Linked DNA regions of Nothobranchius furzeri. The protein of the gene in region 1 interacts with the protein of each later gene in a pairwise test. Links are inferred from orthologs where the notes say so. Each region holds a gene or a part of one and is shown in the gene's direction. Other genes may lie near its edges.

Evidence for each region.
Region 2: the proteins of mad1l1 (region 1) and rnf8 interact in binary tests that used the Homo sapiens proteins (3 or more experiments, as listed by UniProt). The two-hybrid records come from large-scale screens. The link is inferred for Nothobranchius furzeri from reciprocal best matches to the Homo sapiens genes MAD1L1 and RNF8.
Region 3: the proteins of mad1l1 (region 1) and ubiquitin carboxyl-terminal hydrolase 15 interact in binary tests that used the Homo sapiens proteins (3 or more experiments, as listed by UniProt). The two-hybrid records come from large-scale screens. The link is inferred for Nothobranchius furzeri from reciprocal best matches to the Homo sapiens genes MAD1L1 and USP15.
Region 4: the proteins of mad1l1 (region 1) and bag5 interact in binary tests that used the Homo sapiens proteins (3 or more experiments, as listed by UniProt). The two-hybrid records come from large-scale screens. The link is inferred for Nothobranchius furzeri from reciprocal best matches to the Homo sapiens genes MAD1L1 and BAG5.
Region 5: the proteins of mad1l1 (region 1) and mfap1 interact in binary tests that used the Homo sapiens proteins (3 or more experiments, as listed by UniProt). The two-hybrid records come from large-scale screens. The link is inferred for Nothobranchius furzeri from reciprocal best matches to the Homo sapiens genes MAD1L1 and MFAP1.

What each region holds. Positions count from the first base shown.
Region 1 is NC_091744.1:8,623,619-8,627,130, reverse strand, and holds part of mad1l1 (mitotic spindle assembly checkpoint protein MAD1), read left to right. Parts: intron 1-2,745; coding exon 2,746-2,886; intron 2,887-3,054; coding exon 3,055-3,111; intron 3,112-3,512. UniProt on the Homo sapiens protein: Component of the spindle-assembly checkpoint that prevents the onset of anaphase until all chromosomes are properly aligned at the metaphase plate.
Region 2 is NC_091742.1:8,358,485-8,362,715, forward strand, and holds the start of rnf8 (E3 ubiquitin-protein ligase rnf8), read left to right. Parts: upstream 1-1,425; 5' UTR 1,426-1,556; coding exon 1,557-1,679; intron 1,680-1,845; coding exon 1,846-1,974; intron 1,975-2,117; coding exon 2,118-2,560; intron 2,561-2,768; coding exon 2,769-2,976; intron 2,977-3,406; coding exon 3,407-3,469; intron 3,470-3,604; coding exon 3,605-3,694; intron 3,695-3,769; coding exon 3,770-3,877; intron 3,878-3,963; coding exon 3,964-4,168; coding exon of another isoform or gene 4,169-4,175; intron 4,176-4,231. Other genes in the region: aida (axin interactor, dorsalization-associated protein), read right to left, coding at 51-117, 740-846. UniProt on the Homo sapiens protein: E3 ubiquitin-protein ligase that plays a key role in DNA damage signaling via 2 distinct roles: by mediating the 'Lys-63'-linked ubiquitination of histones H2A and H2AX and promoting the recruitment of DNA repair proteins at double-strand breaks (DSBs) sites, and by catalyzing 'Lys-48'-linked ubiquitination to remove target proteins from DNA damage sites.
Region 3 is NC_091741.1:53,834,459-53,838,446, forward strand, and holds the start of ubiquitin carboxyl-terminal hydrolase 15, read left to right. Parts: upstream 1-1,176; 5' UTR 1,177-1,221; coding exon 1,222-1,310; intron 1,311-1,868; coding exon 1,869-1,996; intron 1,997-2,437; coding exon 2,438-2,568; intron 2,569-2,955; exon of another isoform or gene 2,956-3,062; coding exon of another isoform or gene 3,063-3,095; intron 3,096-3,988. UniProt on the Homo sapiens protein: Hydrolase that removes conjugated ubiquitin from target proteins and regulates various pathways such as the TGF-beta receptor signaling, NF-kappa-B and RNF41/NRDP1-PRKN pathways.
Region 4 is NC_091758.1:10,662,484-10,665,995, forward strand, and holds part of bag5 (BAG family molecular chaperone regulator 5), read left to right. Parts: intron 1-84; exon of another isoform or gene 85-225; coding exon of another isoform or gene 226-248; intron 249-460; exon of another isoform or gene 461-623; coding exon of another isoform or gene 624-655; intron 656-3,128; coding exon 3,129-3,512. UniProt on the Homo sapiens protein: Co-chaperone for HSP/HSP70 proteins. It functions as a nucleotide-exchange factor promoting the release of ADP from HSP70, thereby activating HSP70-mediated protein refolding.
Region 5 is NC_091749.1:30,004,173-30,008,287, forward strand, and holds the start of mfap1 (microfibrillar-associated protein 1), read left to right. Parts: upstream 1-1,304; 5' UTR 1,305-1,419; coding exon 1,420-1,501; intron 1,502-2,122; coding exon 2,123-2,339; intron 2,340-2,418; coding exon 2,419-2,569; intron 2,570-2,661; coding exon 2,662-2,849; intron 2,850-2,929; coding exon 2,930-3,199; intron 3,200-3,288; coding exon 3,289-3,448; intron 3,449-3,745; coding exon 3,746-3,835; intron 3,836-4,115. Other genes in the region: hddc3 (guanosine-3',5'-bis(diphosphate) 3'-pyrophosphohydrolase MESH1), read left to right, coding at 411-565. UniProt on the Homo sapiens protein: Involved in pre-mRNA splicing as a component of the spliceosome.

The sequences.
Region 1 (3,512 bases):
CACGTGCCATTCGGTTTTGATGAATTAAATGAAACACTTTAAATCAGAAAAATTGCTTAAATAAGAGAAAAGCGTGCATTTTTCTGAACCCTGCAAAGCCAACTGTCGCATAATGAATCTATTAAAGGATTAAATGGGATGCCGACATGGCACATGAGACGGAGCTGCAGTAATTACCTCCCGCATGTAGGCTAGTGGTGTAGAAAGTATTTTTCTAGTCTCACAGTTTGCTCAGTCTCTGATGAGAGGAGTTTATTACAGCTCCTCTCTTTTCCTAGATGTTGCTGCATAGCTGTGTTTGCAAAATAAGTTGAGCATAAAGAAGGTGTTGTGTTGACTGAGTGTTCAGATTGCGTTGCCAATAATCCCATTCCTGTTGAGTTCAGGTGAAGTTTTTGGATTCAGTTCAATTCAATTCAAATTCAAAGATACTTTATTAATCCCACAGGGAAATTAGTGTCAGTACACACAATTCTGAGATCAGACATATATACACAGACACATGACAAGAATTGGTGACTGTGGTCATTCGCAACCCAAGTCGCGCTACCTTAATAGAGATCAGAGGGGTTTACATGAGGATTGAGTCAGATGGAGGAAAAAAGGCACTTCAGAGTTACCCTCCACAGGGAGGGCAGCTTTGATATGCAAAAAACACCTCAGACAGAAATGCAACAGACATCAGACATAACACAGCATGAGTGTCCACTAGGTGGGGTGGTAGGGTTTGGGACTCTCCACACGTCAGTGCATGCAGCCGCAATAAGCAGCGCCCATCACCCCCATCTGGACAGGGGGAGGTGGTCATTGGGTTTAGAGGGCACAGTGACTCCTGGAACGATTCAGCAGCCTTCACAGCTCGCAGTCCCGCCCAGCCTGGGATAGGGAGACAGAGTTGCCATGGCGACGGCAGCATTCCACATTTCTTCTGAGTAGGGATGGGTACCTTTGACATTTGAATCGATCCGGTACTAATTACCGGTACCTACAAATCGATACCGGTACTTAACGGTACCAATTTTCGATACTTTTGAGTGTTTATTATTTTAATTCTCTTTTATAATTAAATATATATTTTTCTCAATATATAACAATATTTCATAAATATCACGATAAATAACATACAACTGTTTGTATTTTAACATTGCCCTTGTAGTTTTATAAGCTGATAATTAAACTGAAGCAAACATCTTTACTGTGAACTAAATTTACTGTGAATCTTCATTCCTTTTGCCATCTTTTTTCATTTGATTTTTCCTACTGGGAAGTTAGAATTTCCGAGGAGAAAGCGAACGCACCATTAGCTGATAACAATGGTAGCAATGGAAGCTAACATATCAAGCTAACGATATCTTAAACAGTTTATTTAGCTGCTGGAGCAGATTAAAACGATGCCTCACACTTAGATCGTCACTGGTTTCGTCTTCACCCGTCACATTTAGTAAAGTGAAGCCAAAATTTAGAGCGCGTTCATGTTGTTCTAGTCGGAAATTCTGAGTTCCGAGGAGAAAGCGAACGCACCATTAGCGAAATGGAAGCTAACATATCAAGCTAATTATATTTACGTACCGGAGCAGATTAAGATGAGGATGTCTCACTTAGATCGTTGTCGCTGGTTTCATCATCCAGTTACCCATCACATTTAGTGAAGTGGACCCAAGCTTTAGCCTGCGTTCTCTCTACCATGCTGCTCTGTTTACAACTGGTTCACAGCAAGCGACGACAAAACGCTCTTGCGCATGCGCAGCTGTCTTGGCAAGTTCTCGTTATGATGGACGGGTACCGAAACGAGGCACCGTTTGAAATGACGTGAATCGGTGCTCGGTCGGTACTCTGGAATTCGGTCGGTACCTTAAAAAGTACCGAATTCGGTACCCATCCCTACTTCTGAGGGGGAGTATTTGTTTCAGCCTCACAGGCTCAAGGGCACCAGATTCAGAGAAGAATTTGTTTTGGGGCCAGACAGTGATAATTTCTTCTCTGTCTTAAAGTTCCGTTGGTCCTCAACATCTCAAAATCCAATAATGGCGTAAGTTAATCTATCCCAATCCGTGCTGATTCGTCCACTCGCTCCTTAATTGCATCCATCTTTTTTGCCAGAGCCTGAATCTCAGTCAAAGTTCCAAGCCTACGACTCTTTCGACAATTATGAGTCTGTGCATTCACAGCGTGGTGTAATCATCCCCGAGCTCCAGGAAAGAGCCAATATTCCTTTACAGCTCGTTAATTTTCCGGTAAGCCAGGTAGCCTCCCAGGCCAAAAAGTAGGAAACCTGACACCAACACCACAAATATCCATACGTCTTCAGAATCCTCTACAGACAGTTGAGATAAGCAGATCAGGTTCCACTGTTTCCAGGAGTCCATGATATGCCCAACTGGATCTGTCCCAGAGGGGCATTCGGGAGCCCCTTCTCCCGTTATCATCGTTGAGAAAATGTTGTCAATCGGGTTGAGAGGCCAGCTGACCAGGTCTATTTTTAATAATTTCCAGTTTCCAGAAAAAATGCAGAAGCGTCGTACACCCAAAGACAGACAAAGAGCCCTGGGGATAAGATAGGGAGGAGAGGAGGAAAAAAGCATCTGTACTCTACAAGAGCCGAAAGAAGAAGCATGCTTATTGACAGTTGAGAGAGCTGAGCTTTAAATTGGACTTTCTCCAATTTGTCCCGCACAGATGTTTGTTCAGAAAGGATTTTAAAAATGCTTTATGATTTAATTATGCCATATTTCACTTGTTTTACAGGAGCGAAATGGGATGAGGGCCATACTGGAGTCCTATGACAGTGAGCTTGCTCCCTCTGAATACTCTCCTCAACTCGCAAATCGACTCAAAGAGGCGGAGGAGGTTCTGCAAAGGACACAGAACCACAACATGGATATGGAGGTGTGTATGGTTTTATTGGCTAAGCTTTAGTTGACTTTAACACACACTAGTTATCTATGTGTGAGCTGGTTATTAAATAATCCTCTTCCTCTGTTTCCCTTGTATTTGGTCTTTTTCAAGCTTTCCTCTGATGTATCTGTTATATTTTAAATTTTTGCTTAAATTCAGGCCCAGCTAACTAAAACACAGGAGGAAATGGGGGTGCTCAAGCTACAGCTACAAACAGTAAGTAAGAGGAATGTATGCAGGTTATTATAGGTCCTATACCGTATTTTCTGGAGTATAAGTTGCACCAGCCATAAAATGTATAATGAAGAAGAAAAAAAACATATATAAGTCGCATTTTGGGGGGAAATTTATTTATTTTTTTTTACAAACTCTGAGACCAAGCATTTCACATTGCAAGACAAGTACCGGTAACAATAACAGAATAAACAACCAGGGCGCAGCAGCGTGCCACGGTCTCCAGCAGAGGATGGTGGTGTTTCAAACACTCCCAGCGGGTGGGGAGAACGCCCGCAGCACCCCGCCACAGACTGCAGCAGGTGTTGGCAGTGTTTGAAACCCTTCCAGTGGGGCAGAGGAGCTGAAACCTGGACCGGAGCTGGCCCACAGCACCACGCAAC
Region 2 (4,231 bases), on another chromosome or scaffold:
ATTTGAAGCAAAGCAGGCGAGTTTAGCCTGCAGACTGATGCAATTATTACCTTCTGCTCTTCTGTGAAATCTGATGAATTTGAATTTTGGACCTCTTTCTGCAGCTGCCTTGCTAATCTGGATTAACGAGAACAGTTAGATGGGTTAATCAATCAATTCCAAGACGATTTGTCACATCAGTGGGCTGTTCTGCGCCCCCTTTTGGTCAACGTGGGACACTGTCAAGTCATCTATCTGCACTAAAGAAATCTAAAACGTGTCATTAAAATGAATTATTACATAAACATGATCACATCCTGAAATAACTTGCGGAGTCTGATCTCCTCAGAGAACAAGAGAGCTTTCCTCACTGAACACACGAAACCCACCCATAACAATGAGAGGGTGTGGCTGACTGTTTCCCAACACTCTAAGGAATATTGGTTATTCTCTTCTCCTAACGCTCAGAAACAAGACATTCAGCTTTGGGTGTTTCTTTTTGTTCTTCTCCCCTCTGTGAATGAAGATGGGATGGGACTCCGCTGCCTCTGCAACAATGCCACATCACGTCATGGATGGGAAGGGTTTATTTACTGCTGTGGGGGCTGACTGACAGCTCCGAGGCTAACTTCTGCAGGTTTAAGAGCTGACAAGCTTTAAGACAGCAAAAAAATAAAAAGCTAAACAAGCCGTCCTCGCTGTTCCAGATGTTTACACTCAATCGTACAAAAATAAGACACACATGTTGAATGTAACTCACATTTGGTACTCGTCTATAGCCTCTACCAATTGTCCCCACGAGTCAAAGTCTGTGCCTTTCTTGAAACTGGCGTGCCATTTCTGAATAGTCTTGTTGACATCAGACATTTTGGCGGGGCGGATACTCGCGGCGCTCTCAGGGCAGCATAGCCGAGGTGGAGATTTATTTACGCAGCTTCGGCAGCCTGGTTATCTCCCGTCCAGACATACGCGGATAAGACCGGTGACACACGGACCAAGCCCTTTCTGCCTGTTCAACACTGGGACTTCCGGTGCAGACAGGAAGTCCCGCCCCGGGGTTAGGTGCACTCGTTTTAGGGTGCTGGGTTGCCTGACTGAGAACAAATCACAACAACAAAGTGCTCTAATTTGAATTTTCGATAAAAAAAATTCATTGCTTTAAAAAAAATTTAAACTTCATAAAGCAAAAATATATTTAATATATTAAAATATTTATCATCCAAAATACTAGCATTTACTTTTTAACGTTACTTTCATGTTTAAAAATGTCAATAAATAAAGAGTAACGTATCCCAGAAACCTATTCTATTCATACTTTTTTATTTATTTTGCCTTGTTCAAAAGATTTACAACACGTGATACGTGCCGTTATACAAGAAATAATAAATAAAACATTGATATTTATTTTAGCAGTTTCCCGTCGCTTTTATTTCGAAATGAATTGTACCGTTTTCCGGTGTCTCCCGGATCGCTACCGCGTTAGCATGTAGCAGTTATGTGACGGAAGACACACATCGACATATACATATAAGACACAACAACAGCGGAGTGTTTGGCCTGTGACAGAATGGCTTAACATGGATAGTGCAACGGCGGATTCATGTTCGGCTGAGGACGGTGAATGTTCGGACTCGGAGGTCTTGTGTCTGATGAGAGTCGGAAAAAAATCAGACTGGCTTCGTTTGTTCGAAAAGGCAGAGGTACAGTTTGCTAATGTTAGCTTAACTAAAAAAAATCATTTTCAGGATTGTGCTATGTATACATACAATAGGCATGCCATTTTATTCATTAAGTTTTTTCTAACGGCGTAGTGGACCCTGTTTATATGGAAAAACTGTAAATTGACGTTTGTTTTTGACTGCTCAGATCACTGTTGGACGTGGTTTGGATGTCACCTACCAGCTGCTGTCTTCAAGTAGTCCTCTCATGATCTCCAGACTGCACTGTGCCTTCAGACAGATAGAAGACGGTCACTGGACAGTGGTAGACAAAAAGGTAGCCTTATTTCTTGAGCTAACTCTCCTAAAATTGATCTCTAACAGATGATGGGGCTATTATTAACAGCAGCAGCTAATACCAAGTTAAATCTTAGTAAATAAGTTATTATTATTATTATTATTATTAATTATCTTCCACAGAGTCTCAATGGTGTCTGGGTGAACGGAAATCGGATTTCTGCCGATGAACCTTACCTGCTCAAACTTGGAGACTCGATCCGACTTGGAGTTCCTTTATCAGGAACCAAAGTAGAATTTGATTACATCCTCATCCGGCGACTGCTCAGAAACATTCAGCCGTACCTGGCAAAGGCATGTAGAACTTGGGCTAAAGAGCCGCAAGTCTCCAAAAAATCCAAAAGGAAGTTGACTGTGGAGGAAGTCGAGCCTTCTACATCAAAGCCTAAGCTGTACCGCTGCGATTCAGAAGGGAAATCTTTTGCAAAACCCTGTCCTCTGTCTGCGGTGAAATGCCAGCAGCGGCTCAGTAACACACACCTGGAGGAGACGGCATCCAGCACACAAAAACAAGAGCAGCACTCTGATGGATCCAGTGATCCTTGTGAAGTGGACAACCTGCAGAGGTAAAGTGTGACTCCTCGTAAAAAAGGTTCTCAATCAAACCAAAGACACTGCTCCTTTACAAGCTTTTATTTAATACATTTGCTGAATTATGTGTCACATATTCAAACAGACTCCTCTCTACTTTTAATGAAAATAATACTCTTTAGGAGTTGTCCATTCTGATGTTCTGTTGTGTAAAAGTTGTAAATATTAATGTATAACCTGCAGGTACAGCCAGAATCTCCTGCTGTTACGGGAGCAGGTGGATGACACCCAGAAGCAGGTATCATCTCTTGGAGGAGAACCCAGGCGGGCAGATCCTCTCCGACGGGAGCAGGTCCGTGAGCTGCAGGGTCAACTGGAAACCCTTAGAGCCAAAATGTGTCAAATGAAGACTTTAGAGAGAACCTTCAGTAAAACAAGGAGACAGTTGGAGGTCAGGAGTGTTGTTTTTTTTTCTTTTTGAAACATCGTTACATTTTCATTCCCCCAACCCGCAATTGCTTTATTTTACAGCGTTAGTTTAACTTTTAATTCTCCACATTTCAAAATGATTCAGCCATACTTTAAATAATCTTGGTAACGTTGCAAAAAAAAGATCTTAAACATAACAAAACCTGTTAAAGAGCTACATTTCTGCATCATATTCCATATCGATATTAATATTCCAGAGCATATTAATATTGAGCATCTTTTTTGGGGTTTCAAACAAAAGCGCCACATATGGAAAGTAACACGTTCCTCACCCTTCTTGTTCTGACATATGTGAATCAAAAGGTTCATCTGCATTTACAATTAGAAAAATATATATGTCCATAAAAATAAAGTTTCAATTTAAGTGAATCGTCTGTCTTTTATGCGTTTAGGAGCAGAAAACACAGCAGCAAGAGGAGCTAATGAAAAAACAACTTGAAGAGGCTCTTCAGGAAGTAAGAAGGTTCAATTAAACTAATTAAAAGCTGTTAACACATTTAATTTAAACTAACAGTTTTTTAGTTTATTTCTTTAAGTTTTTGATTAAATGTAATAAAAAGTTTTTTTGTGCCTGTTTTTTCAACAAACAGCAAAAGAAAGTGATCGACGAGCTTGCCGACTCTCGAAAAACATTTGAAGAAATCCTCTCTGCGAAAAACAAAGAACTAGAAGAAACAAAGGTGCCTGAAAGACACTTTTTAAAACACACATTTTTACCTTGGTTGTCACTTTGATTCATATTTTTTTTCCTCCAGGAGGAAAAAGAAAAGGCGAAAGCCCAAAAGGAGGAGGTAGTAACACAAGTCACAGAGGTTCTGGAGAACGAGCTCCAGTGCATCATCTGCTCAGAGCTCTTCATCGAGGTAGAGCCAGGAACCTGTTTGGGATCATCTTACTCACAAAAACCCGACTTCACCTGCTGAAATTAAAAAAAAATGTCCCTGTACAGGCGGTCATCCTGAACTGTGCTCACAGCTTCTGCTGTTACTGCATCAAGTTGTGGCGCAAGAAGAAAAACGAGTGTCCCATCTGTAGACAGGCTATCGAGTCCCAGACCCGGTGTCTGGCCCTGGACAACTGCATCAACCGTATGGTGGAGAACCTGAGCCTGGACATGAAGGCCCGGCGGCAGACGCTCATCACTGAAAGGAAAGGTGAGAGGTGTGTTCTCATCATCCACGCCAAACTCATAGAAATGAATCATCCATCTTTGATCT
Region 3 (3,988 bases), on another chromosome or scaffold:
TGCGTGCTCATTTGAAGAGGTCTTTCATATTTTATAACATGCTAATTTATATAATGGTTTACAAACACAAAAGGGTCATTTATTAGAGTACTCGATTAATTGATAAAAGATTCAATAGAGTACTCGATTACGAAAATATTCGATAGCTGCAGCCCTAGTTCATGCAAACTTGAGTAATAAAAACATCAGATATGGATCTGATTTAGGGTGACAGAAAGCAGAGTGAATCTGATTTGTCCTGTTCTGACAAACAAATGTCAGATCTGTATACTGGTAAGAAATTTATTTTCAAACATACTCACTTAGATAATCATTCAGTCAGAGTTACATCATTAATCCATTCATTTTTTCTCTCTCAATGTCTTAAAATTTGTTTGATCTCCAAAGTGTTTTTTCTTGATCCTACTGGCACAAATCTAATCCCATAGCAATGGTCCATGTATTAGCATCTTCTTGAACACTATTAGATAGCTCGGTTCTGGGCTGCCCACTGGATTCAGTATAGGAGATGTGTGATAGGAGGATGGGGAAGATGACCTCCATTTAAAAAAAAACCTCCCACTGTGGAGACCATGGACAGCTCCTGCAGAGGCAGATGGAGACATCCCAGACGTAAAATGTCACTTTTACTTGTCAAAATTTAAATGAAAGCTATACTCACTTACATTCTTAATACAAACATTTTTCTCAAGTATTTTAGGGATGTCTGGTATTGTTGTAGATGTCTAAAATGAGGGATTAAATGATAGATATCGGAAATAATAATTTTCTTAATATGAGAGGAGTTCTGTTTAAGACATCTGACAATTTTAATCCAGCTAATTAGAGTAAAAACCCAACTTGCATACATGAATTTGGCTTTTTTTTCAGTTCTTGAGAGCTAAAGAAAAATTTCCACCACGGTGGACAGTTAAGTGTCATTCTATTCTATTCTATTCTATTCTATTCTATTCTATTCTATTCTATTTGTCCTGTAACGATTGTTGGAGCTATCTGAATTTTTTTCCAGGTCGCAGGTATTTATTGCTCTCTAATATGTTTATTTTGACCTAATGGAATTGAATGACAAAGCACCTTTAGCCTATCTTAAATGTGAAAAGAGCTTGCCACACCTTCCTCTGCACCGCTGCTTGGCTCCTGATTGGTGTCAGTAGATCAATTACGCTCAACGTGCGTCGATGACGCCGCACGCTTTTCCCACCATGCAACGTTCGAGTAAAGATGGCCGAAGGAGGAGCGGCTGATCTGGATACTCAGAGAGGAGAGATCACGACACTATTGAAAACACAGCTTAGGAAAGGGGACACCTGGTAAGGCATGAACCGAGATCTCTCTTGAGGGACTGCGTGGCCGCCGCCTGGCTCTGCTGCGAGTGACAAAGCCACAAATGTTAGAAAAGCCGAGGTGACGGGCCGTGTTGACAGTGAGGCGTTTGGGTTGCTAACGAGAGCGTTCCAGCTAACCGCTGGCTCTGGTCAGTTTAAATGAAGAACTGACTCTTAACGTTTAAATTCTGAACTCTACGCGCAATTGTAATCCGTTCTAAACGAATAATGTTGTTTTTATCTGATTTCATGACCTTAACAATACTAAAGAGCCTGTTGGGTAAGTAGCAGGCTAATTTAGCTACTTGGTTAGCATGTGTCGCTCCAAGTGATTTTCCAGTCAGGGGGTTCGTCTGTCGACTTTAGTTGGGCGGAGTCGGTAAAAAAAAAAACACCTGTCAAAATCTCAGAGCCAGCTGGCTGGGATTGCAGCAATCTGAACTCCACCTACCGTCAATAAATCAGCTGTTGGGTGTAGTGTTTGCCTCTCAGAGTCTTTTAAAACACTGTTGTTATTGAGTAAACCGTGGTGGTCTCCTCTAGGTATTTAGTGGACAGTCGCTGGTTCAAACAGTGGAAGAAATATGTGGGATTTGACAGCTGGGATAAATACCAGATGGGGGACCAGAATGTTTACCCCGGACCGGTGGATAACTCTGGCCTACTCAAAGGTAAGACCGGTGAAAACTCAAACTACTAAACTAGGTCCTACATTAATATTTCTGTTTACCTGTTGTTTGTTCCTCTTTCTTCAGCTGTGGTTGATTACCATCGTGCATGTTTTAATATTTAGTTGTTTCAGAGAATATCTGTCAAAGTCAGTTTAGGTAGGTTTTTCTAGCAAATAAATACAGCAAAACAGAAGATTGTAAAGTTCAGTATTAATAATCTAATATTTTAATAATTGTGTCTCTGCTGAGTGTCTTCATTCTGAAATTACCGACAATTTCAGCAAAATGGAGACAAAGCTAGAATTGTCTACTGACTTCATAGAAGCTCCCCAGCCTACCTTTTGTTTTTTTGTGTGAGAAAGCACACAGTCAGTGATGCGTTCTTTGTTCTGATTGTGTTTCTCGTCCTCTCCTTTCATCCCTTGTTCCCTCTCTTTCTAGATGGGGATGTGCTGGCCATCAAGGACCACCTCATCGATGAGCTCGACTACATCCTGGTCCCTGCCGAAGGCTGGAATAAACTTGTCAGCTGGTATGGACTGTCAGAAGGTCAGGAACCAATCGCACGCAAGGTAAAGGTTCAGAACCCTGGAAGGGCATTTATTGAGTGTTAGTGATGGAGAGATAAGGCAGCTTTTCTTTAATGGACTGTAAGAGTCTTACTAATGGCTGCTGCTTTGTGGTGGAGTCCATTGAAATGTTTTCTGTCTACAGAATCAGTTTGTTTACAGGATGATTCTTACATTTCAGCGTAAAAACAAAATATTTCAACCAGGATTAACAAAGATTATACAACATTTAGATGAAAGATCAGTATAAAATATAATTAGTTTTTTGGAATACATTAGGATTGCAACTTAAGTATTAATTTCTCCACTTCAGATTTTGCTAATCATGCCATCATGGCTGCTGGAGGAGGTCGTCCCCCCCCCCCCCCCCCGGCACCACTGTATTCCTCTCTTCGTTTCCGTTGACCCTCCCTCTTTTCCCATGTATGTCATGGCACGTATCGGGTGGCTACAGGGTTTCTATTTTCAGGCAACGTTCTGGGTGACTGTAAAGCTACATGGAGCGGTCTACAAGACACAACATGCAGGAGGTTTATAAATAATCTGTTTTTCTCTCTTTTTGAACTTATTTTGCCATCCTGTGCTGTGGGAGAGTGCATAAGTTTGAGTGGGATTCAGGAGGACTGCTGTCAGCGGGTTCGTCTTCCACAGTCCTCAGCTGGTGTTGCTGTTAACACCGGTGGAGCGTTCTTGAGCCCTTGTTTTTTGGAGTGGAGGAATTCCTGCTGAGGTCACTCTGAGAGTAGCAGCGCGAAGGATTGAGAGAGGAGTGTGACCAGTATGGGAGGAGGAATGGGGTGGGTGGGGTAAATAGTTTTTAACTGAGCTCTAATTTGAGGAATTCTGTTAGAGTTTGGCCCTTGGGTTGTACTTACGTCCTCTCGATTTAAAATGGCACTGACTTTTTCTGAGCAGCTCTGTCGGCCCAACAGAACATCCAGGCTTGGTTCGGGGCAGGGCTGGAGGTGATGCATGACCGGTGCAGTTCTCAGTGTCGTTTGTGAAAGTAGTACTGTGTGTGTGTGTATATATATATACATGCGTGTGTGTTGGAGAGGCTCAGTGGTGAAATAAATAGGTTCAGACCCCCTCAGCTGTTTCCACAAGGTGCTGCTATAATTAGATCTTCACTCTAACTCCGATTTTGTCAGAGGACTTGATAAGTAGCAGCCAGGGCAGCAGATTGGACTTCTGTTTGTTGCACAAATCTAGATAAAAAAAGACTATTTAAATGTGTTGTTTTATTTTTCTGCATTTACTTTATTTAGTTCAGTATAACAAGCAGGAACCTGCAGCCTATAATGGTTTGGATTGATCATTATGACACTAGATTTAATCTTTTGGTGATAATTGTTGTTTGATAATCATTTGTTTTGGCACAAATGCTCTGCTCCACTGTAACACCAGAATGCTGGAAATAACA
Region 4 (3,512 bases), on another chromosome or scaffold:
TAATTAATTGACATTCAGTTGAATTTAATTTTATTCCAAAAAGTTTTTTTAGTGTATCATTCTGTAACACGACAAAACGGAGGTAAATGCTGCTAACGAAGGCGTGTTGAGAGAACACGAACTCCGTGTTAGTTATTATGCGGGAGCAGGGTCGTGGAAGGTAGTTAGGTGCGTTAATGTTGAGCTTTAATCCGAGGAAGTTCGTCCTTTTCAGCAACACTTCACATGGCTGTACGGTGGCTGTGCAGGTAAGTGTCAACGGTTAGGGGGAGATCTCATTGTAAGACCAAAATCAGGAGTGTTTTAGGCCAAGGTGGGGCAGAGTCAGGTGATCATCCTGACTGACACCCAAGCATCAGGAGGGGGGGCGGTGGCTGGCCTTGTTTGTTGCTGTCCTGGATCCAAAAGCTCCAGTCAAAGCCCGCGTAAGCCTGGCTTCTGCCTTTATTAGACCCAAGAGGCCGACAGCGACCTGAAGGCAGAGCGTGGTTGTGGTGGTGGGAGGGGCGACAGTAGCCCCCCAGCTCAGCGCGGAGGATCGTCACCAGCACCTCCACCCAAAAACACACCGTGATTTCAGCTCCTTTCGCTGCTCTGGCTGATGGAAAAAGACCTCTGGCGAAATGTGCGCCAACGTGTTCGGAGTGTTAAAAAGGTGAGAGGCTGGCGCTGCTGAGAGTGGATGCTGACAGATGTGGAGGTGTGGTGTGTGCGTCCCGATCAGCCGGTTTTCGATGGTCAGAGCCGTGCAGCGTGCCCGGTGCGGTGGCAGCCTGGTGCTGATGGTGGTAGGTTTGCTGTGGGACCTACAGGAGGGAGGACTGAGCTCTGCCGCTGGGCAGATTCTTGGCTAGTCAGCATCATTGGCTAAAACGATGAAGGATGTTGCTGAGATGATTTTGATAAGGACTGGAGCTCCAGCCTGACCTGCCCATCCCCTGTCCTCTTAAATAAAAGTGCTCTTGGGAATGAATCCATCATTTGTCCTGATGAGCACTGCTGATGCTGTACAGCTACAGCCTGTGGCCTCAGATCCATGATCTGAAACCGTGTTGCACCTGAGGCTGCATGTTTTTAACATTTGTAATTCCTGAAACCCAGAACCTGACAGAAATGGACGTACTGGTTTAGCATGACATGTCTCATTTAGAATGAGTAAAATGAACGCAAACATGATCAAAAAGCAACATGAAGAAAAAGTAGACAAACGGGTGCTGCTATAAAAGCATAGAAGTGCCGCTATGGGAGCCCAGGTGTCCAAACATGGGCTGGTGCACATAAAATCTGTCTTTTAGCTACGTTGATGCCTGTGAAAAAAATATCAGCAATGCCACCCTTGTGGGGGTCATGGGTTAGGGTTAAAGCTCACTGCCAGTGTGTTTTGCCCCCGTTCTGCCTCCTACTAACTTTAACCATCAAAGATGCTTAAATCTAGCCTTCAGAGGACATCAGTGAGATTAGGTAAGATACATTAAGAGTGGTTGTGCAGGGTCAGTTAAACATGGTTTGATTTAGTCTTTCCTCAGTCGAGCACATCGATTTTAAAATTAAAAGGAGTTTTAAAGAGACCACAGTCATCATTTGTGTTTTGAATTGAGATGTTTAACATGAAAATGTCCAGCAGCTCCTGTCCTACCATCAGGCTGCAGCTGCTGAGCCTGGCAGACAGAGGTGAGGGTGAAAACAACAAAGCCCAGCTCTCAGGCGTTTCATATGAAATAACATTAAATTAAACAAATAGTCTGACTTGTTTCTGTGTAGAAGTTCCAGTGATGTCAAATCTGACATCCTACGTGACTGATGAGCTAACGGCTAGTCCAAGCACAGCTGAGAATGTCCTGCGTGCACCAGAAGAGTTACAGTTACATTTAACACAGTCAGATTTTAGATGACGAGACGTGAATCTTTTCCTCAGCTCTTCACAGACCCGTTTCAGCCAGTGGGTCACATCATCAGCACCAGGATGTAGGTCAGATGTAGGTCAGCGTCCTGTCAGGTTTGCTGGTCTCGTTTTAGGAACAGAGCTCACAAATCTGCTTTTAGTAACCGTCAGAGAGAGTTTGTGGTTCTATTTACCAGGAAACTTTCACCACTAAGTCGGACCTGTTCCCGGTGAGGGTTGGACTCCGCCAGGGCTGCCTTTTGTCACCGGTTCTGTTCATGACCTTTATGGACAGAATTTCTAGGTGCAGCCGTGGTGTGGAGTTGTCAAGTTTGGTGGCAGGAGAATCTCGTCTCTGCTTTTTGCGGATGATGTGGTCCTCCTAGCTTCATCCAGCTCTGACCTTCAGCTCTTGCTGGGTAGGTTCGCGGCCGAATGTGAAGCGGCTGGGATGAGGATCAGCACCTCCAAATCTGACACCATGGTTCTCGACCGGAAAAGGGTGACTTGCCAACTCCGGGTCGGGGGAGAGGTCCTACCTCAAGTGGAGGAGTTTAAGTATCTCGGGGTCTTGTTCACGAGTGAGGGTAGGAGGGATCGGGAGATCGACAGGCGGATTGGTTCGGCGTCTGCAGTGATGCGGACGCTGAGCCGATCTGTCGTGGTGAAGAGGGAGCTGAGCCAGAAAGCCAGGCTCTCGATTTACCGGTCGATCTACGTCCCAGTCCTCACCTATGGTCATGAGCTTTGGGTAATGACCGAAAGAACGAGATCGCGGATACAAGCGGCCGAAATGAGTTTCCTCCGTAGGGTGGCCGGGCTCAGCCTTAGAGATAGGGTGAGGAGCTCGGACATTCAGGAGGGACTCGGAGTAGAACCGCTGCTCCTCCGGATCGAAAGGAGCCAGTTGAGGTGGTTTGGGCATCTGGTCAGGATGCCTCCTGGACGCCTCCCTTGGGAGGTGTTTCGGGCATGTCCTGCCGGCAGGAGGCCCCCGGGTCGACCCAGGACACGTTGGAGAGGTTACATCTCCAATCTGGTCCGGGAACGCCTTGGGGTCCTGCCGGAGGAGCTGGGGGAGGTGGCCGGGGAGAGGACGGTCTGGAGCTCCCTAGTTGGGATGCTGCCCCCGCGACCCGGACCCGGATAAGCGGAGGAAGACGACGACGACTTTCACCACTAAAACACATAAATCTATCAGATTTGACTAACTGTTCTGGTTGTCTTTTGTTTTGCTCTTCTCCAGCCTCTTTGGGAAGCCTTTTGATGGAGGGAAGAGGATGGAGCATGGTGGCCCACAGGAGCCGCACCATCAACATCCAGTGGAGCAGCAGCAGCACCACCCTGCCATGATGCGGCTCTATGAGGTCCAGAAGGAGGTGTTGTCTCTGGGGCCGCACGTCTGCACCTTCAGTGGCCTGCAGGACGACCGGGAATACAAGCGGATGGAGCGCGAGCTAACCCGGCTGCTGCTGGAGGTGGACCAGGTGGACACGGAGGGCAAGGTGGAGCTGCAAGGGGCCCGTAAGAGGGCTGCTCAGGAGGTGGAAGGTCTCCTGCGCTACTTAGAGGAGAACGCCACCCACCCATCCCGTCTGGCCATGGAGGAGCTGAGCGTGGCGGCTCGGCA
Region 5 (4,115 bases), on another chromosome or scaffold:
ACCCCCTCGAGAAGAGGGCTGAGAATGAGCCTTGGTTGGCCCGGAAAAATACCAGGCCACCCAGATATGTAAACAACCTACGCTACCCGGCCCAGGCTGACCCGATACAGATGGGAATGGCCCATTATACTCGCTCCCACCTAGCAGGAGGCTCTGATCCATTCAGACCAGAATCGCTAGCCACAAGAACAGTTTCTTCCCCTCCACGGTCAGACTCATGAATGCCAATCGTAGACCTGCCCACTGCAGTTGCTTTGTTTCAGTCACCTGACCCTGTGTTGTGTTATCACGTAAACTGATCTGCTCTGATCACTACCTACACTGACTTGTTTATTGTAGCTGCTTCTCTAATTATTGCCTCCCTAAATAATGGTGTTTATCATGTTGTCTACCTTTTGTTTGCCTGGCAGGCTGGAACACTGAGCGGGTCCAGGAGTACTTTGTTTGGGCCTCTGAGGTGGTGAAAGGCCTGAAAGGAACTAACTCTGCCCTGGAGGGGAAGCTGGAGGACTTGTTCAGAGAGGCATTCAACTCTGATGGCAAAGCCACACGTCTATACTGTTAAAATGACAACTCAAATGCACCTTTATGAGTGAGCTTCAGAAAAAAAAGAAAGAAGTGTGAATGTACTGTCTGCTGCACTGTCATTTGTATTATTGTCAAATTTTTAAAGTCATGCAAACCAGAACAGAAAATTAAAAGAATAAAAACATATGACATTTCTTTTATAAGTCTGGTTCATTGTCATCAAACCTTTCAAATAATTTTCACACAGACACAAAGTTTTTTTTTTAGATAAGTGAAGAGTTGCTTATTAGAAAGTCAGTCAGATTAGCCTTTTGTTTTTAAATAAACCATGATGCCAAAGTTACAAGCCAACCTCAGTCCATCCTATTACTCTGTTAAGGGTCAGGGCGTGCACTTATTTATTGTGCTAGTAAATTGAACTTGCCTGGAGCAGAAGAAATGTAGTTTGTTAAGCTGCCTGTCATTTTTGTAAAAAAAAAACGGAATGTTTGATGTTGGTTATATTTGTTAGGGTGAAATCGGGTTTCTGATCATAATGAAAAAAAGCTTGACTTGAAGGCCTATCATGCATGAAACATAAAAACCACCAAGGGGCGGTGATTTACAATTTACAATTTAATCGATTTTAATTAGCTTGATGGTCATTTAGAAAACACGTTTATAAAAATGCATAAATGTCAGTTTTGTAAAAACAATTTAATGTGAGACGCTTTCCTGTTCATTTGATTCTTGAGTTTTTGGTTTTTCTCTTCGGAACAAATGCACTTCCTGTCCGTTCGCGGAAGTTGTTCAACTTCCGGTTTTGAAACGAAGCAGCCAAGAGATTGTTGAGACTAAGCGCAACATCCTTTTATTTCACGTCCATAGTTTTGTGTTGTTGACCGGGCAGTCATGTCTAGTCACGAAAGCGTCAACATGAAGCTCCCACCGATCCAGTCCACGGCAGGAGCCGTGCCCATCCGGAATGAGAAAGGTGAATCGTGTTAGGGTTAGCTTCCATGCTAATGTAGCATCTGTTATGTAGCGTCAAAAAACGCGAGTTAAGTTTCTAAATAACTAATTCATTACTCAGCAAAACAAGCTGAAAAGCAATTTTGTGATGTTGGTTTTTTAAGAGAGTAAAATGTGTGTGTGTGGTGGGAGTAACAGTTTAAAATCTAGAAATGGAGGAACAACTGACAGTTTACATTTTTTTAAACAAGATTCAAGATCTTTGATGATCCAACACAAATGTTTATAAACAACTGGAAAAAATATATTTTAAATAGCTTTTCAACTTTTTTACGTGTTAGATAAGTCATCTGTTAAGTCCCTTAAAAGTATTCATGGGCTTTTGTAACGTCATTTATCTGTCTACCTAATAAGAGCTTGTCTGAGACATTAACTCGTTGTTTTAAGCTTACGTCTGAGTTTTGGGGTCATTTTATTACTCCCAAGGGCGAGGGGTATGCTGTATCTGTCTGATTTAATTTAAATAAATCTGCAACATATTGTTTTACGTTTTTTATGGTTGAGTGTTTTTTCCTGTTTAAATACTCTTGTACTAAGCTTGAGGAAGTGTATATAATCATGCCCTTTTCTGTACACAATGTAGGTGAGATCTCCATGGAGAAGGTGAAGGTGAAGAGGTATGTGTCAGGTAAACGTCCAGACTATGCCCCCATGGAGTCGTCAGATGAAGAGGAGGAGGAATTCAAGTTTGCTAAAAAGGGAGTGGAAATGGAGCTGGAGGTAGAGCAGCAGGAAGAAGATGTGAATGACCCACGTCTCAAACGTTTGCTCAATCGAACTTCTGAGGACGTGGAGGAGAGGTATCACTCAGTTTTTCTGATTAAACTCAAATTCTGTCAACATTTTGAGTCAAAATGTTTCCCGTTTGTTTGTGCTCAGGCTCGCAAGACACAGACAGATCGTAGAGCCTGAAGTTGTTGCTGAGAGCAGTGAGGACTCTGATGAAGGCACATGGCACCCTGAGCATCAGGAGAGCAGCGACGATGAAGAGGAGGAGGAGGAGGAAGAGGAGGAAGAAGTGGATGATGAGGTAGCAATTGTGCACCAAAAAAATAAAATCCTTTTAACTTTTTTGTTGCATTTTGAACAAATTATTAATTTGCTCATCGTGCTTGTGACCAGGAAATTGAGAGGAGGCGAGCAATGATGCGCCAGCGTGCAATGGAGAGGAAAAATGAAGAGATGGAAGTGATGGAGGTGGAGGAGGAGGGGAAGTCAGGAGAGGAGTCTGAGTCGGAGTCAGAATATGAGGAGTACACAGACAGTGAGGATGAAGCAGAGCCGAGACTTAAGCCTGTTTTTATTCGCAAGTGAGAACTAAACTAAAAATGTTTCAATAAAAATTCCAGATTCAGAACACTAGCTCAAATGTTTTTTTTTTGCACTGCAGAAAGGACAGAGTCACTGTGGCAGAGCGCGAAGCCGAGGAGCTGAAGCAGCGAGAGCTGGAGGCCGAGGCCAAGAGGCAGGCAGAGGATCGGCGGCGCTACACCCTCAAGATTGTTGAGGAGGAGGCTAAGAAGGAGTTTGAAGAGAACCGGCGCTCGCTGGCTGCACTGGAAGCTCTGGACACTGACGGGGAGAATGAAGAGGAGGAATATGAAGCCTGGAAGGTCCGAGAGCTGAAACGCATCAAGAGAGACCGAGAGGCCCGGGAAGCGTAAGTAAACTGCAGGATTCCAAAGGATTTATGGTGAAAGAGTGATGCAGTTCTCTTCAGGACGGTCATTTGTGGTGTTTTGTTGTCAGAATGGAGAGAGAGAAGGGTGAAATTGACAGATTCCACAATATGACGGAAGAGGAACGCAGGGCGGAGCTACGCAACAGCGGCAAAGTCGTCACCAACAAAGCCTCCAAAGGCAAATACAAGTTCTTGCAGAAATACTACCACAGAGGAGCCTTCTTCATGGTGAGTCCCAGCAGACACAAGAGTCCTTTTCACGGGATTGTCACCAGGATTCATAAAAAAGCAAATTTTTAAGACAACCAAGAGATTTTCCTAAAATCTTCATTTACAGCTGCAGTGTCTTTTCTTTGACAATTATTGTGTGATAAAAACGGCGTACCCTTTCTTATAACACCTTTATTATTTAGATGTCTGTAAATGACAGGAAATCCCACCAGATTCTGAAGGAGGTGATCGTTTGTGATGGGTCACCAACAGGTTATACGTGTAGGGATTTATTGTGTGGTTTTTGTGTGTTAGGATGAGGAGGAGGATGTTTACAAGAGAGACTTCAGCGCTCCTACACTGGAGGATCACTTCAACAAAACCATCCTACCCAAAGTCATGCAGGTGAGACCCTTTCGTCTTGGGGTGCAACGAAATGAAACTTTGGGCTGATGTCGATATTGTTATGGCTGATAATCGATATTTGTCGATGCGACATATACAGGCTGACATTTATGCTTCTGAAGTCAGCAGATTTTATGGAGACTTAAAGTTATGTAAGCAGAAATTTTGGACGTCTTTCTTTTTATATATATTCAGTTAATATCGGTCCAGTTGTCCTTATCAGACCGATACCGATATGTAAAACATAGATATTGATGCCGATATGTCATGCATCCCTGCT